4 linked regions of the Stegostoma tigrinum genome follow. The protein of the gene in region 2 interacts with the protein of the main gene of each other region in a pairwise test. Links are inferred from orthologs where the notes say so. Each region holds a gene or a part of one and is shown on either strand. Other genes may lie near its edges.

Evidence for each region.
Region 1: the proteins of klhl42 (region 2) and SERTA domain-containing protein 1-like interact in binary tests that used the Homo sapiens proteins (3 or more experiments, as listed by UniProt). The two-hybrid records come from large-scale screens. The link is inferred for Stegostoma tigrinum from reciprocal best matches to the Homo sapiens genes KLHL42 and SERTAD1.
Region 3: the proteins of klhl42 (region 2) and stxbp4 interact in a two-hybrid assay, tested with the Homo sapiens proteins (2 studies listed by BioGRID and IntAct). The two-hybrid records come from large-scale screens. The link is inferred for Stegostoma tigrinum from reciprocal best matches to the Homo sapiens genes KLHL42 and STXBP4.
Region 4: the proteins of klhl42 (region 2) and stam2 interact in binary tests that used the Homo sapiens proteins (3 or more experiments, as listed by UniProt). The two-hybrid records come from large-scale screens. The link is inferred for Stegostoma tigrinum from reciprocal best matches to the Homo sapiens genes KLHL42 and STAM2.

What each region holds. Positions count from the first base shown.
Region 1 is NC_081392.1:8,005,003-8,012,258, forward strand, and holds the start of SERTA domain-containing protein 1-like, read right to left. Parts: upstream 3,098-7,256; 5' UTR 3,001-3,097; intron 1-3,000. UniProt on the Homo sapiens protein: Acts at E2F-responsive promoters as coregulator to integrate signals provided by PHD- and/or bromodomain-containing transcription factors. Stimulates E2F1/TFDP1 transcriptional activity.
Region 2 is NC_081371.1:29,035,799-29,043,206, forward strand, and holds the start of klhl42 (kelch-like protein 42), read left to right. Parts: upstream 1-4,387; 5' UTR 4,388-4,765; coding exon 4,766-5,526; intron 5,527-7,408. UniProt on the Homo sapiens protein: Substrate-specific adapter of a BCR (BTB-CUL3-RBX1) E3 ubiquitin-protein ligase complex required for mitotic progression and cytokinesis. The BCR(KLHL42) E3 ubiquitin ligase complex mediates the ubiquitination and subsequent degradation of KATNA1.
Region 3 is NC_081375.1:4,662,678-4,670,334, forward strand, and holds the start of stxbp4 (syntaxin-binding protein 4), read right to left. Parts: upstream 3,064-7,657; 5' UTR 3,045-3,063; coding exon of another isoform or gene 3,022-3,044; intron 719-3,021; 5' UTR 571-718; coding exon 503-570; intron 1-502. UniProt on the Homo sapiens protein: Plays a role in the translocation of transport vesicles from the cytoplasm to the plasma membrane. Inhibits the translocation of SLC2A4 from intracellular vesicles to the plasma membrane by STX4A binding and preventing the interaction between STX4A and VAMP2.
Region 4 is NC_081360.1:97,870,220-97,877,823, reverse strand, and holds the start of stam2 (signal transducing adapter molecule 2), read right to left. Parts: upstream 3,018-7,604; 5' UTR 2,665-3,017; coding exon 2,625-2,664; intron 1-2,624. Other genes in the region: hacd2 (very-long-chain (3R)-3-hydroxyacyl-CoA dehydratase 2), read left to right, coding at 4,010-4,137.

The sequences.
Region 1 (7,256 bases), on a different chromosome or scaffold from region 2:
GTGTGAGACTTCTGACTTTGCCCAACCCAGTCCAACAATGACATCTCCACATCATGGCTTTGGACTATGAGAAGAAATGAGAGCATCCTGAGGAAACCCATGCAGACACTGGGAATACATGCAACCCCACACATACAGTTACCCAAGGCTGGAATCAAACCCAGTGCTAACCATCAAGCACCATGCCAACAATTTTCCACATTTTTGAACAACTGAAGATGATTAGATCCAGAACACTGTCCTTAGAAATGCCTGCAACGTTGTCCTGGGTTAAGATGACTGATCTCAAACACCATGTCCAGTTTCTTTTGTGCATTTTATGACTCTAACCAGTGGTGGGATTCCTTTGTAATTTCTCTTGACTACAGCTTTGTTATGATGCCTTCAGGCTACATTTGGTCAAATACTGGCTCGGTATCAAGAGCACTCACCCTCACCTCATCTGTTCTTTTTGGACCAAGCAAGACTTCATTAGGTCAGGAGTTTAGTCACCCTGGCAGAAACTAAACTGGGCAGTGAACAGGTTAACATTGTGTAGGTGCCACTTGATAGCACTGTCAAGACCCCTTTCAACACTTTGCTGATGTTGATGAGGGTAAACTGATTGGGCAGTAATTGGGTTGGTTGGATTTGTCTTGCTTTTTACGGTCAGGACATACCTAGATAATTTTCCACATAATACTGATATTTCCCCAAATTGAATATTGGAATAGCTTGGATAGGAATGCAGCTAGTTCTGAAGCTTAAGACCCACAGCCTTTACCATAGCCAGTGTCCCACTCAGTAGCCCATGGTAGTGTGGAGGGGAATTTTGTCATGGACCAATGTATCTGTGACAGGTAGATTGGTGAAGATGAGGTAAAGTAGGCTTTTCCCTTTTGTTGGTTCCATTGCCATCTGCTGCAGACCCCGTCTAGTAGCTACGTCCTTTAGGACTGCATCAGCTCAGTCTGTGGTACAACTGAGCTACTGGTGGAGATGATGATCGAAGCTTCTTGAAATTGGTGCTCAGCAGAAAGGAATACTGATTCATCAGATGAGATTGAGGAAGGGAGCAATAATGGGTTAAGCGCAGGATGTTTCCTTGCCTAAGTTTGCCATAAGGACTTCATGGGATGTGGATCAATATTGAGAACTCCCAGGACAACTCCTTTCTAACTGTATACCACAGTGCTACCAACACTGGGAATAGTGATGGCGGTGTCTGGATATTGTCAGATATGGTTTGATGAATGATGGTTTGAATCACAGATTAGGGTAGCTGAGTGAGAATCATAGAAACCTACACAGCAGAAAGACGCCATTCAGCCCATTGAATCTGCGCCTACCGTTCAAAGAGTATTCCACTCTGTCTCAAGCCCCTACCCAATCCCCGTAAACCAGAATTTACCATGGCTAATCCATCTAACCTAGATGGCCCTGCTCACCACACACAATTTAGTATGACCAATCCACCTAATCTACACATTTTTTGGATCACTAGTAAACTAGTGAAAGTTTTATTGTCTGTGCTAGGATTACTTTTAATTATATATTTTGTTAAGGAGCAGGTGGGAGGAAGAGCTGATGGTCTGGTGGTATTATCACTGGGCTGTTAATCCACAGACCCAGATAGTATTCAAATCCCACAAAACAGCAGATGGTGGAATTGGAATTCCATCATTAAAAACTCTGGGAATTATTGAGTCTAGCGATGACCATGAATTCATTGTCAATTGTCAGGACAAGTCCATCTGGTTCACTAATGCTCTTTAGGGAAGGAAACTGCCCTCCTTTCCTAGTCTGGCCTACATGTGACTCTGACCCACAGCATTGTGGTTGACTCTCAACTGGTCTAGGGAGTTAGGGATGAGCAATGAATACTGCCTGGCCAGTGGTGCCCTGGTCCCGTGAATGAATACAGGGGAAAAAGATTGACTTTAAATTTCACTAGTTGCTGTGGTGGGATTTGAAACCGTAATTCCAGAGATTAGTTTGGCCTCTGGATTTCTAGTCCAGGCCATGATCACTATGCCACATCTTTCCTAATCTTGAGCTTTGTTTATTGAATCCCCTTGTATTTAATTAACCATTTATTTATATTTTCATCTACCTAGTTTTGATTAGATTGATTGGGGAAAGAGTTGAGACCGTGAAGAGAGAGAGTGAGTCTGGGGGTGAGGGTAACCAACACAGAGGGGCAACGGTAGAAAGGAGGTGGGGGAACATTAACAGAAATGGGACGCCGAGGGCAAAAAAGAGAGAATGGAATGGGAAAGAAAGGGATAGAGAAGGGGACGTGGTGATTAAGATTGCTGATTAAAGTAAAATTGAAGTCTAGCAATTTAGGCCAATACGTGAAAACCTAGTACCCATGAGGTATTGGGAACATGGAGCACGGCAGTGACAGGCACAAGACAGAACGGAAAGCCGAACAGTCGCCGTCATTCTAGTCTGACCCACTTTGGTCACTGGCGACTCGGCTGTGATCGGAGCATTGACTCCACTGAGGGGCCGTACCTCAGGAACTTTCACCACGGATGCAAAACTTCTAACCTGCTTTGATTCTAACCCCATTCCCAGACTGTTTCTCTGTCTGTCTGTCTTTCTGAACAGTCCCAGCAGAGTTAAACTGGAGAGGAGGGGACAAGGTCGGCGCGGAGCCTGCTGTATTCGTCACGATCCCGAAGGCGCTCTCTCCTGCCAGGCTGAGCGATGAATCACTCGCTATTTACGAAGTCGTACTCACGCAATTCTCACCGCCTCTTACCTTCTTCCTCTCGCTCTCCCCCGCGCGCCTTCCTCGTCTCCACTTTTCTTTTATCGTCACTTATTTTAAAAAAATAAAATACCAGAATCACGGGGGTTCCCAGCGCCCTAGAGCTTTGGGGAAATTGGATTTCAAGTCAAAGTAACCGCTCTATTAAGTTTTTAAAAAGACGCCGAGGAGCCGTGATACTTTCCTTGCTACAAAAAGTATCCACTTTGAAAAGATAATGAACCTGACACTTTGTAACTCACCCGCTGCGTCCAGTCAGCGCGTTCCGCTACATTGTAACCTCTCACTGTGTCAGTTTCACTCGCCTCGGACAGCGTCAGCTGCTCCCGACCGTGGACCCGGATCTAGTTGCTGGGCAACACGACGGGGGCGGTATTACAGGAGAAGCCCAGGGGGCGGGCAACTAACGGGCGAGAATGCATGCGCACGAAACTGTCGCCGTTCCGGTGCCTTTTGGGAGTTGTAGTTCTGATAGTGTCAGAGGCCTTGAGGACCATCCCCATGGGGGTGATTCTTTTCTCTCCAGTTAGGTCTCACCAGACTCTCTTTTAGAAGTGCAAGTCTTGAATGGCTCCATGGGAATGCCAACACGTTAGAAAAGGTTTTTCCTGACGGCAACAGCTTTCTAAGGCTGACTTAGACTCCTGGCAGATAAAGTAGAATCATCTGGACTTAAAAACGTTAACTAGCTTTCTCACCATGGATGCTGCCTGAGCCACTGTGATCTTTAAGTTTTATTTTCAGTTGAGACCACAGCCAGCCAAGCCATGATTTTATCAAATATAAGAGCAAGTTTGGAGGACTGAATGGCCTAGTCCCACTCCTATACTCACTCATCCAAATTACCCTTAAGGATTTTTGACATCCTTCTGGTGCTGTCCAAAACGTTCTTCCAGCGTGAGCCGAGATGGTGCAAGCACAGAGTAAGTTAACCATCTCAGCCCACCTGATAGCTACATAAATCCATCTTTCTGGCGAGTAAAATAAACAGCTCCCAGTTATCAAGAAGAAGGAGTTTTGCCAACTTTTCCTCCTGTATCTCAAGGAAATTGAGATTATTGAATTTAATGAAAAAGGGGGAAAATGTCCCTTTTAACATGTAGGATGTAGGCATTCTTCGCAAGACCACATTTGTGGACCTAGAGATAGTAAGAACTGCTGATGGTCCTAGTTGGTTTTCAGAAGGTGGAAATGGAACTTTCTTATCATAGTTTCTAAGATAATGGTGTTCTAACTATAGTAATAGGAGGGGAATGGTAAAATAAACCCAGTACCTCAAAAGAAACAGTGACATATGAACAAGTCAGGTTGGGTTTCTTTGATTTATTTGGTTTCTCCTTTCATGGGATGTGGGTGTCCCTGGCAAGGTATTGCAAATCACCCTCGAATTGAGTGAGATGCAAGGCCATTTTAAAGAGCAATTAAGAGTTATCCACATTGCCACAGGCCTGGAGTCACATAGGCCAAATTATGCAAAGAACAACATTTCAGAGAGTTGTCCAGCATAGAAACAGACCCTTCGAGTCAACTTGGCCATGCTGACCAGATATCCTAAATTAATCTAGTCCCATTTGGCCCATCTCTCTAAACCCTTCCTGTTCATGCACCCATCCAGATGCCTTTATTGAAACCAGACTTCAACTCCAGATTTTGCAAGTTTTTGCATCAGAAAACAGTTGAGGCAGGGTCACTGAATATTTTTAAGTCAATGGTGGATAGATTCTTGCGAAGCAGGGGTAATCAAGGGTTATTAGGTGTAGATGGGGATGAGGAATTTGAAACACAAATAGTTAAAAGTCATGCTCTTATTAAATGACATGGCAGACTTGAGAGGCCAAACAGTCTAGTTCTGCTCTAATTTTGTATATTCAGGTTTAATTAGCTGAATTTAAATTCCACCAGAAGTACTGAACTTGGAATTATTGTTTGTGAGGAACAGGTTATGGTTAGGCTTATTTTCCAAAACTCTCCAGCTCCGGGATTTCCCTCAGGGCATGTCTGGACCTGTTGGAGATTGGTTGATAAAGACCGATTGCTCTGATTAGTCAGCATATCAGTCATTGATATGTCAAATGATTACATGGATGATAGTAGGTGAACTCGATAAACCTTGGTCTTTTATATTACTTTATATATGCTGGTTTTTCACAACCAGTGGGGTTTCTTTAGCCTCTCAAAAGGTTAAATTCAATTTATGGAGCTAGGGAAACCAAAACATTTCTTCCAAGGGGAGTAACAATCTCTTGCTCAAACTTCAGCACAAGATCGGTGAAAACATCTTATTTCCCCAAAGTTAAGGCAGCTGATTGGAAATTCCATTTCATATTGCTAACATATGTTTGAATTAATAGCATTGCTATATTAACATTGACTTGTATAAAGATGCAGAATCTCTGCTTTGAAATATGCCATCTGTCACAAATAAAGATGCTTTGGCAAAAAAGCTTACACAAACTTCTCTAGCAAGGCCCCAAATACTCACTCACCACATCAAGTGGTTAATATACAAGTTACAAGTCCATGGCTTCTGCAGACATTAAATAAGTGTAAGTCAACGCAGAGTTAAACATTTAATATGCAGTCCCAGACAGCTTTGGAAACTCTCACTGACTTGATATTTGAGGAATTAAACTTCCAGTGAGCCTATTGATTTTCTGGATAGTGGTTGAATTTAAGATTGTTAACATTTTTAATTGGTACCATGGGGATTATTTTCTTTGTGTTAAGCCAGTGATGCCCACTACACATTCATCTAACTCAACCTTCAAAAAAGGTGATTTTTTAAAAAATATCCATACACAACTGATAGTCCAATAGATGGACATGACAGCATCCACTCTCACACCAGGTGGTTTTAAAAATTCATTCACAGGTTGTGGGCATCACTGACTAAGCCAGCATTTATTGCCCATCCAAGAGTCAACCACATTGCTGTGGGTCAGACCAAGTAAGGTTGTCAGTTTCCTAACTTAATGAACCAGATGGGTCTTTCCCAACAATTAATGGTGATTTCACAGTCATCATTAGACTCTTTTTACAGATTTCAAATTCCACCATCTGTTACAGCAGGATTCAAAACATTACCTGTGTCTCTGGATTAACATTCCAGAGATAATACCACTAAACCATCACCTCCCCTTGTTAAATCTCATCCATCACTTCAGTGCATGACTGCAGCTGTGCTTCACTACCCAAACAGCTGATGATTCACATCCAAAGACTGTCTCAAGGGAACAGCTTTTGGCCTGGTAGGATTTTAAAACCTGACTTTGTTTTTTCTGTGTATTGTGGTCTTACAAGACAGGGCACTTTAAAACAAAATGCACTCATACTACACCTTCAATATACAATAATAACACAACCAAAGTTACTTCATTGGAGCTATATCTGACAAAAAAAAAAGACACCATGCCTCAAGCTATTAGGAAAAGTACCAAATGTCAAATGTTGACAGGGGTTTATAGAAGGAATTTTAAAATTTAGATTCTAGGCAACAGAAGACACAGTCACCAATGGTGGAGCAATGAAAAACAGATGTTCATAAGGCCAGAAATCTGAGTGATGGTAGAGATTATAGAGACAGGAAGGAATGAGCCCAGTGAGATTTGAAACAATGGATAAGAATTTTATAACAGTATTGTCAGACCAAGAGCCATGGCAGATCAAAAAGTCAAAAAGAATATGGAACATTGTCAAACTAGTTGAACTAATCCCAAAGTGGCACAGATCCCCAATAAAGGTTTTGCCAGACAAAACCACTAGACCTCAGGCTACTATACATTTTGTGGGCATGAATGGTGCACAGTTAAAGAAATTGACATATCCAGTGGACTCTCTCTACTGCAATAACACAATTATAGAGAGTCAGAAGTAACCGTCTGGCCAATTGTTCAACACGCTCTTATCCATAAGACATCGCAACTCACAATCCTCCCCTATCCCCAATAAAGTCAATTCTTTCCACAAGGCAAAAGGAGATGATTCTCTGAAAAGAGGTAATAGGAACTGCAGATGCTGGAGAATCCAAGATAACAAAGTGTAGAGCTCGATGAACACAGTTTCTGTGCTCCTAAGATGCTGTTTGGCCTGCTATGTTCATCCAGCTCTACACTTTGTTATCTCGGATTCTCTGAAAATCTTGCAGAATTCCCCTCCACCTCAGACCTCCTTAATGTCCTGGCCAATATGTATTGGTTGACCAACTATCATTTCATAAAAGTGATTTTTTCTCCATTTCCATAACAGGTGTTTTTGAGGCCTTTCTGTGAAAATTTGCTGCTGGATTTTCTACATTTCAGAAAAGTTTATATATTTAGGCAAATCTGAAGACTGTGAAAGCTTTATATAAATGCAAGCCTTTTTGTTTTATCCAGGGAATTCAAGGTTGAAGTATGGTGATTGTTGCATAAAAAAGACAGAGAAGGTTTTAGGTAGGAAAATTAAACTCCAGATTCAAAATTTGTCTGTTTAAAAATTTTATTTTAAGAAAATGTAAATA
Region 2 (7,408 bases):
GCTAATCTATCTAGTCTGCATTTCCCTGGACACTACAGGCAATTTAGTATGGCCTATCCACCTAACTTGCACATCTTTGGAGTGTGGGATGAAATCAAAGAACCAGGTGGGGGGCGGGACCCACACAGACACAGGGACAATGTGCAAACCCAACACAGACTGTCACATGAGGCTGGAATCAAACCTGGGCCCCTCTTGGCAGTGCCACCATGCCACTTGTCTCCATAAAGTGAAGCACTTCTTGAGATCTAACCTATGTTTTCTTAGTTTGTACAAATGCCATTTAGATTTTCTCCAGCTGCTTTAATTGCCAGTGTTTTTTTTAATTAACTCCATTTCGCATTATCATGATTTTATTAGCATGATGTGGAATAGCAGTAATGTCATTGGATTACATATTTAAATGGAGTTATATCACAGTATAGAATTAACCCCTTCAAAATGCTCACAGATTGAATGCTTCAGATTCAACAGACAGATATAATCAAGCAAGTCAAGGGTACTAAGTCATGTAGTATGACTATGTAATGTGACCATATGACTGTGTAATTTGATATAGTCTGGGAAGACAATTTTTTTTGTGTTCATTTGTGGGCTGTGTATGTCACTGGCTGGCCAGCATTTCTTGCCCATCCCTACTTGCCCATGAGAAGATGATGGTGAGCTGCCTTGTTGAACTGCTGCAGTCCTCCTGCTGTGAGCTGACCCACAGTGCTGCTAGGGAGGGAATTCCAGGATTTTGAATCAATGACAGTGAAGGAATAGCAATATATTTCCAAATCAGGATGATGAGTGGCTTGGAGGGGAACTTGCTGGTGGTGGTGCCCCCATATGTCTGATGCCCTTGTCCTTCCAGATGGAAGTGGTCATGATTTTGGAAGGTGCTGTCTCAGGATCTTTGGTGAGTTTCTATAGTGCATCTTTTAGATAATACACACTGCTACTACTGAGCGTCGGTGGTGGAGGAAGTGGATGCTTGCAGATGTAGTGCCCATAAAACGGGCTGCGTTGTCTTGGATGGAGTCCAGCTTCTTGAGTGTTGTTGGCAAGTGGGAAGTGTTCCATCATACTCCTGATTTGTGCCTTGTAGATGATGGACAGGCTTTGAAGAGTCAGGAGGCGAATTACTCGTCGCAGTATTCCTAGCTTTTGGCTTGCTCTTGTAGCTGTATTTCTGTGGTGAGTCCAGTTGAGTTTCTGCTCAATGATAACCCCCAGGATGTTGATAGCAGGGGATTCGGTGATGGTAACACAATTGAATGTCAATTGAAACACAATTGAATGATCTTATTGCATTTGAACATGGACTGTTCATTATCTGAGCAGTCACAAATGGTGCTGAACATTGTAATAAAATGTGAGGCTGGATGAACACAGCAGGCCAAGCAGCATGTCAGGAGCACAAAAGCTGATGTTTCGGGCCTAGACCCTTCATCAGCTCTCTGATGAAGGGTCTAGGCCCAAAACGTCAGCTTTTGTGCTCCTGAGATGCTGCTTGGCCTGCTGTGTTCATCCAGCCTCACATTTTATTATCTTGGAATTCTCCAGCATCTGCAGTTCCCATTATCTCTGGTGCTGAACATTGTTCAGTCATCAGTAAACATCCTCACTTCTGACCTTATGATAGGAAGGAAGGTCATTGATGAAGCAGCTGAAGATGGTTAGGCCTAGGACACTACCCTGAAGAACTCCTGCAGACTTGTCCTGGAGCTGAGATGATTGACCTCCAACTACTACGATCATCCTCCTATGTGTCAGGTATGACTCCAACCCAGATACCCAGTTTTGCTCAGGCTCCTTGATGCTACACTTGGTTGAATGCAGCCTTGATATCAAGGGCTGTCACTCTCACCTCTCCTCTGGAATTCAGCTCTTTTGTCCATGTTTGAACCAAGGCTGCAATGAGGTCAGGAGCTGAGTGGCCTTGGCAGAACCAAAATTCAGCGTCACTGAGCACTGACAGTGGCTTAGTCGTAAAGTTACTGGTCTTGCAATGTAGAATCTCAGGCAATGCTCTGGGGATCTAAGTTCTATTCCCACCAAGGCAAGTGGTGAAATCTGAATTGAATAAAAAAAGTGAAAAGCTAACCTCAAGGCAATGATGTAACCATTGCTGGTTGTCATAAAACCTGCTATCCTTACTAGATCTGACCTTACCGTACTCCAGACACATTGCCAGAAAGAATGGTAGCAGCAGATTTATATCGCATTACAAAGGGAATTGTTTGTATATTTTTGAAAACAATCCAGGACACGGGGAAAAGGGCACGTATGACTAACTTCATAACTCTTCAAGTAGTTAACACAGATGACAATGGGCCAGAAAGCTTCCTTCTGAGCTTGTGATCCACAACAGCATTGTCATCCAATTCTGAGCTCTTCAAAAAAAGCCCTGATTAAATTGGTGAAACAATGCCTCTGTTTTCAAAAGCCATAGTTGTATTCTGTTATAACAGCTGAAGTTTCCAAAAGATCATGCAATGATCATGCAGTATGTCTCTAATAGAAACACAAGATACAAAGACAATAGGAGCAGGAGTATGCCATTCAGCCTGCTGAGACTGCTCCAACATTCAATATGATCATGGCTGATCATCTAACTCAGTACCTTGTTCCTGTTTTCTCGTCATAACCGTTGATGCAATTAGTTGTCTCCTTCTTGGAAGCACTCAATGTTTTGACCTTAACAGCTTCCTGTGGCAGAGAATTCCATAGGTTCACCACTTTCTGGATGAAGAAATTCTCCTCATTTCAGTCCTAAATAGCCCACACAGTTTCCTTAGACTGTGACCTGTGGTTCTCCAGAACATCCTTCTTGCGTTTATTATGTCTAGTCATATTAGAATGTTATAGACTTCTACCAGATCCCCCTCATTCTTCTAAATGCCAGTGAATATAATTCTCACTGATCCAGCCTCTCTTCATACTTGATCATCTCACTACAACTTAATTTTCAGAAATGAATAATGTCATGGATTATTTTCACCATAATTTTCTCAAAGTGATAGCTTCAGTTTTAAACTTGGGAAGCTATTTGTCAAAGGAATTAAAGGAAGTTAATCTTGGGATTTTAGGTTATATTTTCTGATGTTCAGATAACTAGATAGTCTCAAGATCAAACAATAAAATAACAGTAATAAACTCAGAAAGGGGATAATTTAAGACCTGACATGCCACCTTGTCCTCTAATTATAATGATGAATTTATGTTGCTTACCTGGCAAATTTAAGTTGCTCCATTTAATGTACGGAGGTAAACGTTCATTGAACTGAAAGATTGACTCTTTTTCTCTCTCCACATATTCGCCTGACCTGTTGAGTATTTCCTGCAATTTCTGTTTTATTTAAGAATTCCAATACCTGCAATATTTTGTTTCTGTATCCCTGCTGCTTTATGCAAACTTCTGTTCTCTGTATATCTGTATAAATATTCTTTTTATCAACTCCACGACTTGAGTATGTCTTTCCAGCTGACATTAGGTGTAGCAGTAAAATTGCTGAGGTGTCATATTTCAGACGAGACATTAAACGAGGTAACAAAGTGCGGAGATAACACAGTGTGAAGCTGGATGAACACAGCGGGCCAAGCAGCATCAGAAGAGCGCAAAAGCTGACATTTCGGGCCTTTATCTCTGATACAACATTCAACGAGGGTCCGTTTGCTTGCTATTAAGTAGATGCAGAAGATTCTGTAGCGAAATGTTATCCCTCAACCGTCAGCAGCAAATAACAGTTATTTGAGGGACCTTGCGCTGTTTAAATTGCCTCATTACCGTGGTTATATTTCAAATGTTACCATTATTTATGAGAAGCCTTGAGAGGTGAAAGGCTAGATATAACACAGGTTCTATACTCGCTCTTGTACCTAAAGTCAACGCTCACTTACTTCCTTTATTACAAAGTATTGTGATTTACATAATGGAAAAAGTCATTCCTGACTCTGTTCTCTTAAACTAATGCCTTGGCTTTGTACTGTCGAAACTGTGGAATGCTGTCTTTGTACACGGTGGCCAGTACCCAAAGCAGTGCTCAACGTGTGATCTTGACAAGGCGAACAGTTCCATTTCTAACACTGCAAAGTTATAATACGATCTTCAGGATTTCTGTTGTCTATAGGTACATACTGAGTGTTTTTTTTAATTCAAATAAAGTCCATATAACAATTTATTTATCTTTGAAACAGCTGGGTTTTTATTTTATCAGTTGGTCGACTCTGTTTAAAATCCCATTGCATCATAAAAAAGGACGCGGTACCACATCTGTAAAAACAATCAGAACAATAATATACTACTGTTTTTGTTTTTAAATACACCGTTGCCAGACTGTCACAAATGATACATGTAACTCCGCGCAATATTTCATGCGCAGTCAGAGCGAGCTGAGTGCCTTTCAAAGGTAAGATGCGAGAGGAGCAGAATGTGCTGGTTGTTGCCTTTTGCAGTCCGAGATTGGCCGTTGTAAACGGAACAAGAAGTGACGATACAAAAATGACAAGGAAACGAGATTAAAGAAACAAGCGAGCAGGCTGTGAAACTTCAACCGAATATGCATAGAAACCGAGTAAGCATTTAGTGATTGCTTGCACTGTGTGCAACAAGGTCCTGCTGTTATATTACACTGGACACGGCAATGTTAATAAATCTACTGAAACGGGTGTTTTGTCTGATGTAGGCCCGCGTGCAGATCCGAATAAATATAAATAAAAGCTGAACCTGCCCGCTGAAAGAAAACAGACTGTATTCATTCAGTCCTCATCTGCTGATACGATGTCCTCCGAAGAAATCATAGCTATCATAATAGACGATAAGACGTACAATGTCAATAAGAGTAAGTTAATTGAGAAAAGCGATTATTTTAAAGCCCTGTATAACTCCGGGATGAAGGAATCTGAAGAAGATTCGGTGCAGCTGCAAGGCTTGAGTGCGCATGGACTGGAGCTCGTCATTGAATTCATCAACACTTCCAAAGTACATTTTGATAACGAGACCTTGGAAGATTTAGTGGAAACAGCGTCGTTTCTCCAGGTGTCTTCCATCTTGAAGCTGCTCCTCTCTGAGATTAAGGTGGATAACTGTGTGGAGTTATATAAACTTTCTGAAATTTACGGAATCGCTGATCTGAGAAAGGCCTGCCTCAAGTTCATGGTGTGTCATTACCACCCAATGCTGAGGAGGCAGGAATTTAGCCATCTACCCAAGACTTTGCATCAACAAGTCAGGGAGATGCGCCTTAAAGGCACAGCTGTCTTGGTGGCAGTAGGGGATTTCTTTAGCACCTCCTTGGATCAGTCTCCTGATGAGGCTTGGTCAATGCTGAGATATGATGAGGTTGGACAGAGATGGCTACCCTTGGCAAACAGCCTCCCTCATGACATGGTGAATGTGAGAGGCTATGGTTCCACAGTGCTGAATAATTACCTTTTCATCATTGGTGGATACAGAATGACTAGTCAGGAGATCTCGGCTGCACATTGCTACAATCCTTGCAAAAATGAATGGAATCAGATTGCACCAATGAATCAAAAAAGGTACAAAGCTGGTAATCACTTAGTTCACTCTCACCACAGTGTGATATCAGAAATACAAACCGCAATTGCTGAAACAAAAAACGTGCAGGTCTGGCAGCATGCTGGCAGATGCCAGAACTGGTGAGATTTTTCAGCAATTTCTGTTTGTGTTTCCAATTTCGAGCACCTACAGTTCTTAGTTTCTTTTTGTGCTGTCAGAAATATTATTTCTCACATCGCTTCGATAACCAACAACCTTCGTTTTTTATAGACAATTTATATCTGATAAATGTCAGTTTCACAAATGACATAAGAAAGTTTATAAATGCTTGAAATAATCAGAATCACCATGACCCAGATCTTTTATCAATCTATTTTTGATAATGGAGCAGAATTTTTACCAAAGCATTTCCAACCTGTGAAAAGCTCATGAAGTGGGGATTCCCCTCTCTCACAAAGGTACAACTAGTCTCTTAATGCTGCACATTTCAAACAGGCCTTATTTGTAGTAATAAAAATAGTAAATCAGAGCACTTACAATGTCTTGATTGGGTGTCATCTGCAGTTGGTAGAAGTGGGGAGACCTGTGTACTAACCAGTTAACGCATCATTCAAAAAGCCTACAGTGACCAACTGTTTGGTGCAGGCTTAAGGGGCTAAATAGCAATTCCTTCTCCAGTTTCTTATGTTTTTAAGTAGCAGTTACTTCAGTATTTGGGATAATTAACAAGTGTTATAGACCATTTTTCTTTCATAAGTACAGCACACTGGCTTCTTAACTAAAACAAAATTAATTGAAACAATGTTTTGAAGTCCAGTAAATGGGTTGAAACAATGTTGTGATGGCACTCCAACATTGCACTGTTCTACCACTGATGAACATTAAATATAGGAGCATAAGTATTCTATTCATACTTTTGAGCCTGTCATACAGTTATAGAGTCATACAGTTATACAGTACAGAAACAGGCCCTTTGGTCCAACCAGTCCATGCCAACCATACTCCCAAACTAAACTACTCCCACCTGCCTGCGCTGGCCCATATCCCTCCAAATATTTCGTATTCATGTACTAATCTAAATGCCTTCTAAATGTTCTAGCTGTACCTGCATCCATCACTTCCTCCGGAAGTTCATTCCGCACACACGAGCCACTCTGTGTAAAATAAAAATTGCACCTCATGTCTTTTTAAAATCTTTCCCCTCTCATTTTAAAAATATGACCCTAGTCTTGAAATCCCCAATGTTAGGGAAAAGGGACCTGCCATTCATTCAACTTATCTATACCCCCTCAATGATTTCATAAATCCCGAACTTGTCTCCTCAACCTCCTATGCTCCAATGAAAAAAGTTCCAGACTAGCCAGTGTCTCTTTATAACTCAATTCCTCTAGTCCCAGCAACTGGTAAATCTCTCCTGAAATCCTCTCTAGCTTAGTAATATTCTTCTGTAACCGGAAGACCAGAACTGGACACAATACTCCAGAAGAGGTTTCACCAATGTCCTGTACAATCTCAACATAACATCCCCATTCCTATACTCAACGGTCTGAGCAATGAAGGCAAGCATGCCAAACGCCTTCTTAACCATCTTACCTATATGTGATGCAAACTTCAAAGAATAATGTACCTGTACCCCTTGGTCTCTTTGTTCTACAACCCTTTGGATAAGTACATGAATAGGAAAGGTTTGGAGGGATATGGGCCAGGAACAGCCAAGTGCGACTAGCTGAGTGTGGGATTATGTTTGTCATGGCCTGTTTGGACTAAAGGGTCTGTTTCCCTGCTGTATGACTCTGTGAGTCCTACTTTGAGTTGTGTAAGTCTTTGTTTGTTTTACCAAAATATAATAGCCCACATATATCCAAATTAAAATTCATCTGGCTGTCTTCAGCCCATTGACCC
Region 3 (7,657 bases), on a different chromosome or scaffold from region 2:
CTGGAAAAAAGACTCAGCAGGTAGTGTACGTGACCCAACAGAAGATCGGCAAGATGTTACAGGGACATAAGGCCCTGAGGTCACCGGACAGGAAGGATACTGAAAAATATATTTCCCCTCCTGGGACAGACAAGCTTCGAAGTAACGGGTATCCGGTTTCGGGAGGAGATGAGGGGAATATTTTCCATCAGATAGTGGAATTCTCTTCCCCAGACAGCAGCGGCGACCACGCCACCGAGTGTTTTATAAGGCTGTGGAAAGCAGGTGTACTGACTCACAAAGAAAATTAAGGGTATCAGGGAAAACAGGAGAATGGAGATGAGCCACGTTATCATTGAATTGTCGAACGGGTTCAAGGGGCCGAATGGCCTGCCCCTGCCTGTGTGTTCATATGAAGAGTACAGTTAAGTACACTGACAGTGGGAGATCTCACAGACCCACAGTGCACACAGATACAGAAACGGTCCCAGATAGACAGACAGACAGACACACAGATCCGTACCAGTATAACAGGGACAGGCCATCAAAGTGCTCGGGCTCTGCTTCCTGGGACTGCGGTAGTAAGGACATGATGGACTGCCTGCTGAAATGCAGATGCTGCCAGACCTACTGAATGCTTTCTGCATTTATCTGTTCAAATGATGTTGATTGAGGGATAAGTTCCAATGATAAATATTGGCCTGAGGCAGGATCACGCTGCTTTTATTAGGCTCTGTTCCTGAAATTAGAAAGGATTTGAGCTGTTTCATATTTAATAATTTGCCAAATCCTTTCCATGAACTCTGCATAACTCCAGTCGCTGAATTTAATATTTTTCCAAACCCCAGTCTGTCAGTGTAAAGTGAAGGTAATCTTTCACTTGGATACGACACAATAAGTGAGTTTCAGCTCACATCAATCAATTTTGTGGATTATACAATAACAATGTGATTTCCACATGGAGCACATACAGTACCGGGAACGCGGTGTGCACTCTCTCCCACATACCCACAGTATATAGTGAGGACTTACAAATATATACAATCACAGAATGGGACATTCTGAAATGCTTCCCATCTGATACATTGTGTGAAAGGTACAATCACGATTAGAGACAGAACACAATTCAAACCAGTCTGACACTACATGGATAGTGCATCTCTCCACAACAGCTCTTCTACATTTCACTTGGAATGAATGAGTACCTTTGGGAGAATAGGGAGATATTATAAAATAGCAAAACTTTTGCTTTGGACTGGAATCCGTTTACACATCTTGTCTCCCTATAATAAAACTTGCTGTGAGATTCTCACTGTGATTCTTGTGGCTGTATAGCCATTCCCCCTCCTAATGAGAGATAACAAAGTGTGGGGCTGGATGAACACAGCAGGTCAAACAGCATCTCAGGAGCACAAAAGCTGACGTTTCAGGCCTAGACCATTCATCAGGCCCAAAATGTCAGCTTTCCTGCTCCTAAGATGCTGCCTGGCCTGCTGTGTTCATCCAGCTCTACATTTTGTTATCTCGGATTCTCCAGCATCTGCAGTTCCTATTACTCCCTCCTAATGGGAGCTCCTTCAGCCCTTATTGAAAACCTCCTGTTGTTTGCTGTACCTAATTTGCTGCTACATGCTTCCAAAATTCTATCACCACTTCCACAGAACTAAAGATATTTGAATTGTTTTATTTTTAAATGTCATTAAATAATCTGAAGGGTCATAATCTGCAGAAGTGATTGCGTTCAAATTTCCCATATCCCTTGAAAACTTTAAGAACCTAAACAAGATGCCTCCACCCCCACCACCATTGGTGCAGTCTTGAACACTAGGAAGAACTGTCTCTTATACATTGCCAGGAGATAGCAAGAACTGCAGATGTTGGAATTAGAATCAGCGCAGTGTGGAGCTGGAGGAACACAGCAGTTCAGGCAGCGTCAGAAGAGCAGGAAAGTTGACGCTCCAGGCCTGAAACATTGATTTTCCTGCTTCTTTGATGCTGCCTGATCTGCTGTTTTCCTCCAGTTCCACAATGTATTGACTCTTACATAATGCTGCACAGCTTTGGGCTTTCAGTGAAAGCAATGAAATGGTAAGAACAATCAAAAGAATGAAGATGCAAAGGGGAAAAAGCAGAGATTTTAAAGAAGAGAGATTTTACACTCCAAAGGCAATTAGCCCAAAGTAAACATGTCAAGGCCTAACCAGGATAGTAAGACCAATATTGTACACTGGAAGAGTGTAACATGTAAGACACACACAACAGCACACATAATAGGTGTCTTCTTTTACACATTTTGTCAGCCTTGTGAGCAAATTGTATCTACTGGCTGTTACAAGAGCCCACATTTATCAGCACATTTAAAACAATCTCAGGTACCTCAGGGATAGCAGAGGTAATGCTACTGGAATAAGAATCCAGACAGACTCCTGAATGAATGATCCAGAGACAAGAGTTTAAATCCCAATGCGGTAGCTAGGAAATTAACTAAGTAAATCTGGAATAATAAAACTCAATAATGGCGACTCTTCGGTGGTTGTACACATCCCTCTGGCTTACTTATGGTCTTTTGGGAAGAGAATCTTCTAACCTTCCCTTAACTAGTCTACATATGGCCCCCAATCCACAGCAAAGTGGTTGACTCAGTTGTATTCAAGAACAGGGCTCATCACCACCTTCTCAAGGGCAACTGGGGATGTCCAATAAGCATGTCTTACCAACAACACTCAGACTCTCCCAATAAATTAAACAAACAGGCAACATTGTACTGAATCTCATAAGTGACCATAAGAGAGATTGTAAAAGAGATAATGGGAACTGCAGATGCTGGAGAATCTAAGATAATAAAGTGTGAAGCTGGATGAACACAGCAGGCCAAGCAGCATCTGCTCCTGAGATGCTGCTTGGCCTGCTGTGTTCATCCAGCTTCACACTTTATTATCAGAGAGATTGTAAAGACTGGTTTTGCCCCACTACCAATGTGGTCTTTGCTTAATCTTTCACAAAAACCTTGAGACATAGGAGGAAAGTGATCTGTACACTCACCTGTGTTGAAGCCTGGCCAGCATCACTGTGGAAGACACCCACTCTGGTCAAGCAATCCAAAGATCCTATGAAAGAAACCAAGTTTGAATGCCTCACAATACAGTGATACAGCCATCACAAGGAGTGTGCAATCTGGTGCAGGTAATCTGGAATGCACCTTTGCTACTTTCAATGTACATGAAGAGTCTGATTTCTCTTTATATATCTGTGCTAAAATATTTCTTCTGTGTTCACTTTCTACCAGCTCTTTCCATTATAAATTCCTATGCCCACTTTTACAATGGAAGATCCATATACAGTGATACAGCATGGATACAGACCCTTTAGTGCAATTTGTTCATGCTGATCAGGTTTCCCAAACTTAACTAATTTGCCTGTATTTGGCCCATATCCTGCTGAATCTTTCCTATTCATGTACCTGTCCAAAGGTATTTTAAACATCGTAATTGTACTGTACCCCACCCTTTCCTGTGGCAGCTCATTCCATACATGCACCACCCTCTGTGTGAAATTCGTTACCCCTCAGGTCCCTTTTAAATCTTTTCTCTCTCACCTTAAACCTATGCCCTCTATTTTTGGACTCCCCTACCCTGGGAAAAAAGACCTTGGCTATTCTATGCTCCTCATGGTTTTATAAAGCTCTATTAGACCACCCTGCCATACTGTAATTGCACTCCCCTGCCAGTAGTAGCATTGTAGTATATGTTTTTAAGTAATTACCTTCCAAGTCAAAACTACTTCTCCAAATTACTACAGACTTTTTATGTATGAATAACACAACATTAGTCTTCGGTACAAATTATAGAGAGGGCAATGTTAACTAGCTTATTCTGAGTTAGTTCTGACAATCTGAGGTGAAAAAAAGACCAAGGTCCACATAATTCTATCTCTACCAAGGTCCATCTCGACCAATGATGTGAGAAAATAATGGGGACTGAATCACCATTTCTCTAGCTTCAGATCCTGCTTTGCCCAAGGGCTACACTCAGTCTTCAGTCTGTGTAGGATGAGAAAGGTTTTTGATTAGAAAGAACTAGAAGGCTGAAAAGAGTAGCAGAGTAGGAAAAGTCGTGGTTTAGATGACAGAACGTTTTTGTGTCAGCAGCTTGTGCATTTTGTAGGGAAGAGAAGATTGTTGAAGATGGTTCAGATCAAAGGGAAACATGCCAGAATATTGTGACTTGTACTCTACAATGAACAACACAGTAAAACACAGTGAAAAGCTTCAACTGCCGTCACAATCTGGCAACATTTGAATATTTTAAGAATAGAAAGAAGAAAAAGATAGAGCTGAAAGAATAGCACCATGTGATAACAACAACTTACATTGTTACAGTGCCTTTAAAATAATAAATTGCCCAAAGTCATCTCATAGGAATCCAATCAGATAAAAATTGACACTGAGCCACCAAAAAGAGATGATGGGAAAGTTTGATCAAAGGAGTCACTGAAATAAAAACTTTATTATCCCATGTGTGACATGCTTACTATTATCCAGCAGGTCCCAGTTAGACAGAGGGATCCAGCAGGTCCCAGTTGGACAAAGGGATCCAGCAGGTCCCAGTTGGACAGAGGGATTCAGCAGGTCCCTGTTGGACAGTGAGGGATCGAGCAGGTCCCAGTTGGACAGAGGGATTCAGCAGGTCCCTGTTGGATAGTGAGGGATCGAGCAGGTCCCAGATGGACAGAGGGATCCAGCAGGTCCCTGTTGGACAGTGAGGGATCCAGCAGGTCCCAGTTGGACAGATGGATCCAGCAGGTCCCTGTTGGACAGTGAGGGATCCAGCAGGTCCCAGTTGGACAGAGGGATTCAGCAGGTCCCTGTTGGACAGTGAGGGATCCAGCAGGTCCCTGTTGGACAGAGGGATTCAGCAGGTCCCTACTGGACAATGAGGGATACTGCAGGTCCCTGTTGGACAGAGGGATCCAGCAGGTCCCAGTTGTACAGATGGATCCAGCAGGTCCCTGTTGGACAGAGGGATTCAGCAGGTCCCTTTTGGACAGTGAGGGATCCAGCAGGTCCCTGTTGGACAGTGAGAGATCCAGCAGGTCCCTGTTGGACAGATGGATCCAGCAGGTCCCTGTTGGACAGTGAGAGATCCAGCAGGTCCCTGTTGGACAGTGAGGGATCCAGCAAGTCCCTGTTGGACAGATGGATCCAGCAGGACCCTGTTGGACAGTGAGGGATCCAGCAGGTCCCTGTTGGACAGAGGGATTCAGCAGGTCCCAGTTGGACAGATGGATCCAGCAGGTCCCTGTTGGACAGAGGGATCCAGCAGGTCCCTGTTGGACAGAGGGATTCAGCAGGTCCCTTTTGGACAGTGAGGGATCCAGCAGGTCCCAGTTGGACAGATGGATCCAGCAGGTCCCTGTTGGACAGTGAGAGATCCAGCAGGTCCCTGTTGGACAGATGGATTCAGCAGGTCCCTGTTGGACAGTGAGAGATCCAGCAGGTCCCTTTTGGACAGTGAGGGATCCAGCAGGTCCTAGTTGGACAGATGGATCCAGCAGGTCCCTGTTGGACAGTGAGAGATCCAGCAGGTCCCTTTTGGACAGTGAGGGATCCAGCAGGTCCCTGTTGGACAGTGAGGGATCCAGCAGGTCCCTGTTGGACAGAGGGATTCAGCAGGTCCCTACTGGGCAATGATGGATCCAGCAGGTCCCTGTTGGACAGTGAGGGATCCAGCAGGTCCCTGTTGGACAGATGGATCCAGCAGGACCCTGTTGGACAGTGAGGGATCCAGCAGGTCCCTGTTGGACAGATGGATCCAGCAGGACCCTGTTGGACAATGAAGGAACCAGCAGGTATGATTCGCCCTCAGAAGTTTCACCGTGCTTCATCTCTCTCCCTCGTGTCACTTGAACACCGTTTCCGGTCAGGTTTTGGTCAATAGCCCACCTGCGGCCTGTCAGTGGCCTCCGGCCCTGGAGCCTCGGGCTCTGGTAGTTGCCAGTCCCCGCCGCCGAGCCCAGGCTGAGCCCCACCAGCGCGCAGGCGCAGACCCGCAGGGCCCTGGGAAATGTAGTTCCGAGCTGGGAGTCCAGTGAATGCGCACGCGCAGAATTAAGCGGGGAAACCGAACAGCACAGGGCGATGGGCAGAAGGAACTGTGGATGATCAGCATTCAGTATCCAGCACCTTCTCAAATAAATACCACATTTTAAAAAATATCTCTCTGATGCACGTGATAATATTGGCATTGGAAATTATACACAGGGTCACAATCCAATTTTATTTAAATTTCAATTTCTTGTTTATTTCAAAAACATAACAGGCATTTAAAAGGTAATCTTTGTTCATCCATCCAGGAAAATCAGTCAGCTCATTTCAGCATGTAACTCGTATTTAAAGAGCTTCCCCACCATCTCCCCAACTACAGTGCCATAAAGCCGGCTTATTCCTCTTACTTTATTGTAAAACCTTTTCATTAATCCATACCATGAAGATAAGTAATTGATATGTTATCTTTTCATAACCACAAACATCTCAAGGCACTTTTACATCAAGCAGGGGACTGTTTGTTGTCAGGTGCTCTGTCATAAGAAATGCAGCTACCGATTTACACAACCAGGTCTGACAATATGGTCATAACAGAGTGGTGTGCCTTGCATTTCATTGTGAGATAAATCTCCATCGGGACACTGGGAAAAACACTTTGTCTTCTTGAAATAGTACCATGGGATTTTCTTCACGTCCACCTGACAGAGGAGATTCTGTTTAACATCTTATCCAAATTGTGGCCCTTCCGAAAGTGCACACTCCCTCAGCACTGTTAGTTCAGATTATACAGTAAGATCAATGGATTGAGGTGTGAAAGCACAAGTTTCTCACTAAGAGTTAAGCAACAATTTAACCACTAAAATGTACATTAGAAACACAGAATTCAGTTTCCATTTACAGAAGAGAACTCCAAACCTATGTCAGGAGCAAAAACAGAAGTTGCTGGAAATGCTCAGCAGGTCTGGCAGCATCTACGAAGAAAACATCAGAATTTTGGGTCTGGAGGCCGTTCCTCAGAACTATGTCCCCTTGTCTGCAGAATTTCTTCCTCATTTCACTGAACTGCAGCAGTTCAAGCAGGCAGCTCACCATCACCTTCTCAAGGGGCAACTAGGGATTGGCACTAAATGCTAGACTTGTGAGCAATGCCTACATTCCCTGAATAAATAAAACCCCTGAAAGGCCTGGCTCTAATTGTTAGATGATATCACTAGGTAATAAACTCTCCAGTCAGTGAAAATAGTTTCTCTATTTATCAGATCTACCCCCTAAATATCTTGAAAACTCTGTGGGAAGGTGCTGGGGTACAGGCAATATCAGGGGATCAGTAATCTAGAGCCCCAGGCTATTATTCTGGGGATGTGGGTTCAAATCCCATCATGGCAAATCTGACATCCTTATCTAGCCTGGCCTACATGTGACTCCAGACCCACAGCAATGTGATTGATTCGTAACTGACCTCTGAAATGTACTAGACAGCCAATGATTCCAAGGGCACTAGGGATGAGAAACAAATTCCAGCACAGCTACCAGCACCTACATCAGACGGAAAAATCACCCCTTGGACTTCAAGAAACACATCCTGCATTTGTGTCTTCCCTTTCTAACCCATGGCATCTTGGTGTCATTCTGGTA
Region 4 (7,604 bases), on a different chromosome or scaffold from region 2:
GAGTGAGGTCCTAAATGAATACTGTGTGTCAGTATTCACCAAACAATAGGAATTGGCGGAGGATGATCCCTGGGAAGGTTCTGTCGAGTTTCTAAGCCAGGTTGCTATTAACAAGGTGTTTGGCATCTTAAAAAATATTGAAGTACATAAGTCCCTGGGTCCTGAAGGGATCTAAGCCAGAATATTGAGGGAGGCAAAAGAACAGGTTCAAGGTTCAAGGTTCAAGGCAGGTGGGGGGTTAAAAGGGGTGTGCTAGGCAAGCTTTTCACACAGAGTGGCGAGTGCCTGGAACGCATTGCTAGAGATGGTGATGGAAGCAGAAATAATAGCAGCTTTCAAGTAGTGTCTGGACGAATACATGAATAGGAAAGGAATAGAGAGATACAGACTCTGCAAGTGAAGACAGTTTCAGCAATGGAGGGGCAAATTTGGCAGTGCAGGCTTGGATGGCCGAAGGACTTATTCCTGTGCTGTATCATTCTTTGTTCTTTAAAAGGACCCAAGATCCAAAGAAATCGACATTTACAGATGGGATGCATGTGTGGCTTAACTACTGGCATAGTTTCTTTTAAGCTTAAGACATCAAAATCCAAGATAAAGGAAAAAAGAAAATACAATTAATGGGAGCTTGCAAATGCAGGCCATCTAAAACAATATGCTGTCAAGTTCCATTCCTAGTTCTAGAAGCTGGCCTGGTTTCTCCTCATGGAGTAAATCTAGAATTTGGTTGCACTGTATCAAACAAAGGGACCACTTAAAATACTGAGGGAACATAGAACATACAGGCCCTTCGGCCCACTCTGTGGTGCCAAACTTTTACCCTAATGCTAAATTCTATCTAACCTCCACCCTTACCTTATACTATCATCCATATGCCTCTCTAACAGTCACTTAAATGCCCCTAATGAGGCCGACTCCACTACCCACTCCAGCAATGCATTCCACACCCTAACCACTCTGAGTAAAGAACTTACGTCTCTCCTATATCTACCTCAACTCACTTTAAAACTATGCCCCTCGTAATAGCTACCTCCACCCTAGGAAAAAGTCTCTGGCTGTCCACTCTATCTATACCTCTGATCATTTTGTACATCTCAATCAAGTCACCGCTCATCCTTTGTTGTTCTAAAGAGAAAAGCCCTAACGCTGTCAACCTTTCCTCATAAGACCTTCCCTCCATTCCAGGCAATATCCTGGTAAATCTCCTCTGCACCTTTTCCAACGCCTCCACATCTTTCCTGTAATGAGATGACAGAACTGGACACAATACGCCAGATGTGGCCGAACCAGGCTTTTGTATAGCTGGAGCATAACTTCACGGCACTTGAACTCAGTCCCTGTTAAATGAAAGCTAACACACCATATGCGTTCTTAACAACTCTATCCACCTGGGTGGCAGCTTTCAGGGAACTGTGAACATGAACTCTAAGATCCCTCTGCTCCTCCACGCTTCTGTAACCCTGTATTCTGCTTTCAAGTTTGTCCTTCCAAAATGTATCACCTCACACTTTTTAGGGTTAAACTCCATCTGTCACTAATATCTCCTCTGAGAGGGTTACTTATCTTGGTAATTTTCTACCCAATACAGTGTAGATGCTATCACAGAACACAGTTGAGACCAAGATAGATTTTTGAACCACAGGGCATTTGTGGGTTTTTGGGAGGGGTAATGGCAGAAGTGTCAGACAGGAACATAGAGCTCAGACTAAGATCAGAACAGCCACCATCTTATTGTATAGCAAAGCAAGCTTATAGGGCTGAATGGACTCCTCCTACTTCATATCCAATGCTGTATACTCATCTTGTGCCAAGAGCAGAGGCATTTAAGATGAAAACTAAATACTTGCAGAGTTTTTCCAGCACATTCTGCTTTCATTCCATCTCTAGCGTTTGAAACACAGGAACAGGAGTAGACCATTCAGCCCCTCAAGCTTGTTCCATCATTCAATGAGGTTATAATTGATTTGTAGCCTACCTTCACGTACTCATCTTAGGCCCAAAATCACTTAATATCCTTGCTTAACAAATCTGACATCTGACATAGATAAATTTTAACAACTGATTTAGCATAAATTAATATTTGTGAACGAGAGTTCCAAACCTCTATCACTTTTTCTAACAACTCTTTTTTTATTTGACAGGCTAAGATGAGAACTGATCGAGCCGCTCAAAAGATTTCAGTGGAGCAAATGAGACGCAGCTTTGAGTGACAGAAGGATCAGTTATCAGAACGGTAAAGAGATCAGGTTTTATCCTTGTGAACTTGAAAATTAGGGAACATTTTCTGACGCAACAAGTGGCTGAAAGGGTGCAAATTCAACAGTAATTCTCAAAAACAAACCGACAAATCCTGGGGTTCCAAGAGGACGGTGTTGCAGGATTGTTGGCGGGGGTGGGTGGTCTAAAATCGGGGGGCCTCACGGGAGGAGGGACCGAACGGCCGCCTTGAATGCTGTATCATTCCCTGAGCAACATTTCCTTTCTCCCGGAGACCCTTGGTACTCAACAAGCTGATATAATCAGCTCATTTAGAAGCGTTGTGTCATTTATATAATTAAAAGTGTGTGTTTTTAAAAGCCCGGGGCCGGTTTTAAAATCCCTCAACCCTGACAGGCATAACTTACCGACATCCTGGTCGAAGGGGTTGGTGGCGAAGAAAGGCATAGCTGGGATTACAGTAGGAAAACTTTTTTTAAGTGAGAAATAGCCTTCTGGAGATAGGCCGCCGTCAGGCCTCGGCGTCTCTTCAGCTCGAAGCCCGTAACAGTCGCTCCTTCGCCAGCCCCTGGAACATCCTAACAGCCGAGGCCTCCGACCAAATCTGCCCCTTACGGTCTCAGTTTCTTTCACAACTGAAAGTAGGATAAATATTCTCAGTTTTTCACTCCACCCCTTCTCCGGGAGATGAAATGGCGTCGCAGGAGGAGGTGAAGGGAGTTTGTGATCGGGGGATGTGAAGAAATTATAAAATAAATAATAACTTCACGCTGGTCAGGTGACGCCTCTTTGACCCCGCCCCACTTTCTTCCATTGGAGGCGGTCGTCACTCGGCCCTCCTGTAGTGGGGGGGGGGGTCAGCCAAACTAGGGGGCAGTAAATTGACATGTTCGGGTGGCGCAATTCGCTGTCTGCCCGTCCAGGGGGCAGCATAGGAGGATGACCGTGAGACAGAATTCTCAATTTGCCGGTTTCGTGGGAGCAGCACCGAAGGAGGTATGGTAATTCAGTGGGTAGCCAGCATCATGTACCGATGTCGGGACATTGCAGGGAAGGATACAGGAGGGGAAATTCGCTCAGAGATAATAGGAACTGCAGATGCTGGGGAATCCGAGATAATAAGGTGTAGAGATAACAAAGTGTGGAGCTGGATGAACACAGCAGGCCATGCAGCATCATAGGAGCGGGAAGGATGACGTTTCGGGCCAAGACCCTTCATCAGCAAAAAAAATTCGCTGTCCGCCAGTCCAGAGGGCAGCATCGAGGGAAGAATGTACGAGGGGCAATTTAAGGTCAGCCAAACCAGGGGGCAGCGTGGAGGGGGTGGAACGCAGGAACGGCAATGGAAGGTCGTTCTGGCAGAGGGCAGTATCGGGGAGGACCAAAAAACAAAGTTGCTGGAAAAGCTCAGCAGGTCTGGCATCAGCTGTGGAGGAGCAAATAGAGTTAACGTGAGATAACAAAGTGTGAAGCTGGATGAACACAGCAGGCCAAGCAGCATCTCAGGAGCACAAAAGCTGAAGTTTCGGGCCTAGACCCTTCATCAGAGAGGCTCGAAACGTCAGCTTTTGTGCTCCTGAGATGCTGCTTGGCCTGCCGTGTTCATCCAGCTTCACACTTTGTTATCAGGGAATGCATGAGTGGCATTTCAGGGTCAGCCAATCTTGGGGGCAGTACCGAGGGAGACGTGCGGGAGGCGGGATCGGCAGCCAGCCAATCCTTCAGAAGGGGGTGGGGCCAGGTGGTGGTAAATACTGCGCACGCGCGGCAGTTCAGTGACGGACTGATCACCATGGCGTCGGTCGGGAGTGGGCTTGAACATCAACGTGGGGTTCATGAAGGGCCGCAGAAGAAAAGAAGGGGTCCGGGACCCCTCGCCACTGCTTACATGGTCATCTACAACGTGGTAATGACGGCCGGGTGAGAGCTTACATTTTTAAAGCTGTGTTCCGTACCGATCCCAATTAGCTATCCGGGTCAGGCACTGTTGGCAAATTACCATTTCTTTCCATAAGCGTCTGAAATCCACTGCTATTCTTCAGTGTTGCGTTAATTAACATTATAATAATGCAGTAAGCTCGCTTACTGAAAGCAGTTTGCAAATCGAAAGCAGCAGTCTATTTAACCCCCCCCCCCCCCACCGTGTTCCCTTCTCTTGCAGGATCACTTCCTATTTATGGATGGTTCCTCAGTGAGGGACTACAGTGGTACTGAGAGGGCAAAGATTATTATTTAAAGAAGTTCCTTTTGAAATGAAACATGGGTCGGCTCGTATATCGCAATGGAGGAAGAAATGTATTTTCTTCCCTTCCACCTAAGCCACGTGCATTAGTGAATAAGGACCCCCACCCCCATGTGTAAATTGCTGCCGGAAACCATTGTGATGCGACAGTGGACTTTGTTCTGCTTTTCCGCTCCCATATTACAAAACACAACTGATCTCGTTCTGTCACTACTGTACTCTTCAGATCTTTGGTACAGACTGAGTTTCCTGCTGACCTAAGTCGGCAAGCTTTGTGGGGAATGGTGAAAGCAAACTAGGGGTGTGGTGTGTATTTTTCTAGAGATTGGGAGCAAATGTCTCTTCTCAGTTGGCAGATATCAGCGAGCAAGTTGACTCCCTGTCCTTGGATTGAAACAAACAAATGACTTTTTTCCCCATTCAGCTGTCTGAGAGCTCCCCTGCTGTATATGCCAGAAATGGTATTTTATGTTCCTCGAGGGAGATAGGGATGGTAATGTTCAAGGTTATTAAAAGATGTCTTGATATTTATAGCACTCTCAGTTGAAGCTTTTGTATGCAGTGCAGTAACCTGTAATTATATGCTGATTACACATCAGTGTGAGGAGTGCTTTTTGGAAAGCAACAAGGCAAAAGAGCACTCATTGAACATCCTTGGTATGCATGCCTAAATTCTTGAAGGCAGTAGACTGAGGTAGATAAAGTGCTTTAAAGGCATATGGGATATCAAGGTGAGGCTCATTGGTCTATGGGTATGAGTCTCACTTAAGGTACTGCACAATGGTGACATGCAAGGTTTAATTCCCAAATGAGCTTTCTTGGGGTGGCTCAGTGGTCAGCACTGCTGCCTCACAGCACCCAGAACCCAAGTTCAATTCCACCCTTGGGCGCCTGTGTGGAGTTTGCACAGGTTTCCTTCCACTGTCCAAAGATGTGCAGGTGAGGTGGATTGGCCATGCTAAATTGTCAATAGTGCTCAAGGAATGTGTAACTCGGGTGAGTTATAGGGGGATGGGTCTGAGGGTTGGTGTAGACCTGTTGAGCTGAACGGTATATTTCTGCACTGTAAGGATTCTATGATCTATGTAATGTTTGTTAGGCCTCATCAGTAACAATGCTGTGCAATTCTGGTCACTGCAATATAGGTTAGAATGTGATTGTGAATTTCTTCCACAGCCCCTCTCATGCAATGTGGCCAGGGTTGTACTAATCCAGCTATGAGGGTAACATGGATAGGGTTGGGCTATTTTCTTTGGTGAAGGGAGTGTGGCTTGCAGGATGGAGGGGAGGGTGGTGTGGAGTGTGGAACCTGATTTTGAGGTGTACGTAGTTCTGAGGGGCAAAGGTAGTGTAAATAGGAATATACTTGCCCCTTGGCTAGTAACCAGGGGCACAATTTTAGGGTAAGGACCTGGAGGTTTAGAGGTGATTTGAGAATATTTTTCTCCAAAAGGTTGTAGAGGGTCAAGAACTCACTGCCTACTGTTAGTGGAGGTGGGAACCCTCAAAGCATTTGAGAGCTAGTTAGATAAACACACGAAATGCCATAAGCACACAAAGCTAAGGGATGAGTGCTGGAAAATGGGATGGTTTGACTGGTGTGGACACAATGGGTAAAAGAGCTGCCTCGTGCAGTAAAAACAGGCTGTTTGTCAAACAAACTAAAAAGGCTTTTGAAGGATATGAACACTCTTTACTTAGAAAGCATAAAGGCTTTTATAGGGTATTGGAATCTCTCCTGATTTTTGACATGTAATGACTGTAGGAAACTACAGCAGTCAATTCACATGCAGTAAGTTTCAACAAGCAGTTGCATGGATAAAATCTTCTAGATGTTTCTTGAGGTTAAATATTGAATTGGACACCAATTTTGGGAGGATGGAGGCAATGTAGGAACAAAAAGAGCTGTTTTGCACTTGGGACTGTTTCACCATTAATTGAGATTATGGTTGATCAGTGACCTGAGCTCCACATATCTAAATTTACTCTATATCCCTTGGATTTTTGTCAAGCAATGGTATTTGCAATCTGAATTTAAAAATCCATAACTGAATGTCATATCAGTTGCTGTTTGTGGATGAACTTGCATACCTGTGTAGAAGTTTGTAATTTAAGAGCAGGATTAAGCTATTCAGCCCCTTGAGCCTGCTCCCCTTCCCATTTAACAAGACATGTCTGATCTGATTGTAACTTGTAGTTCACATTACCAGTGGTCCCTGATAACCTTTCCACTCCTCACTTATCAAGAATCCAGACAACTGCCTGAATGTTTAGGGGAGTCTTCTTTCATCTTTGACATGTTTTCCTAATCTGCTAAAATGCATTTTTTGGTAGTTGTATTTCTGTTAATGTTTGATTAGTTTTTTCCTGCCTCTGATTAAAGACACTTCAAAGTGAGTTGGAAGCTTCAGAATGAATTTTATTTTCGTATTAAGCAGACCTGAAATTCAGACTTGATTACCCTCTGCATTTACTCCAGTCTTGCTGACCTCATACATTGTGTCCTCAAATCAGTGTATTTAGGGAAAGTGCCAAGAGAATACTCTTGTCCTAATATCTGTGCCTTCTACCTCAGTTGCTGTGCAGTGTTGGAGAAACAAAGCTGAAAGACAAATGAAAAGTACTGAATATCCCTTTCTGATCTGGAATGGAAACCTAACAAGCACCTGCCAATCTGCTGCCTCTCACAGCAAGAGTAATTGGTCTCTTTGACTTGAAGTTCATAGCAATTGATCTGCAGTCTTAAACATTGAGGCCTAGGGAAGTGATAATGGGAACTGCAGATGCTGGAGAATCCAAGATAACAAAGTGTGGAGCTGGATGAACACAGCAGGCCAAGCAGCATCTCGGGAGCACAAAAGAGGAGCTGCTTGGCCTGCTGTGTTCATTCAGCTCCACAATTTGAGGTCTAGGGAAGCTGTGGCAGCAGAATAATATAGTGGGTATGATGTGGTTGAAGATGTGTTACAGTTAATAATGTCCAAAAAGGCTAATGGAACATTTGTCATTACGTAAATGACCTGAATATCACTGAAAAGAAAGATGTGTTGATGAAAGGTTTAAAATATGATGTTCTTGTGTTTTGTTCTGAGTACAAGACAAAAGCCCTGGACAACCGCACTGAAAAGTGACATTCACACTCTTT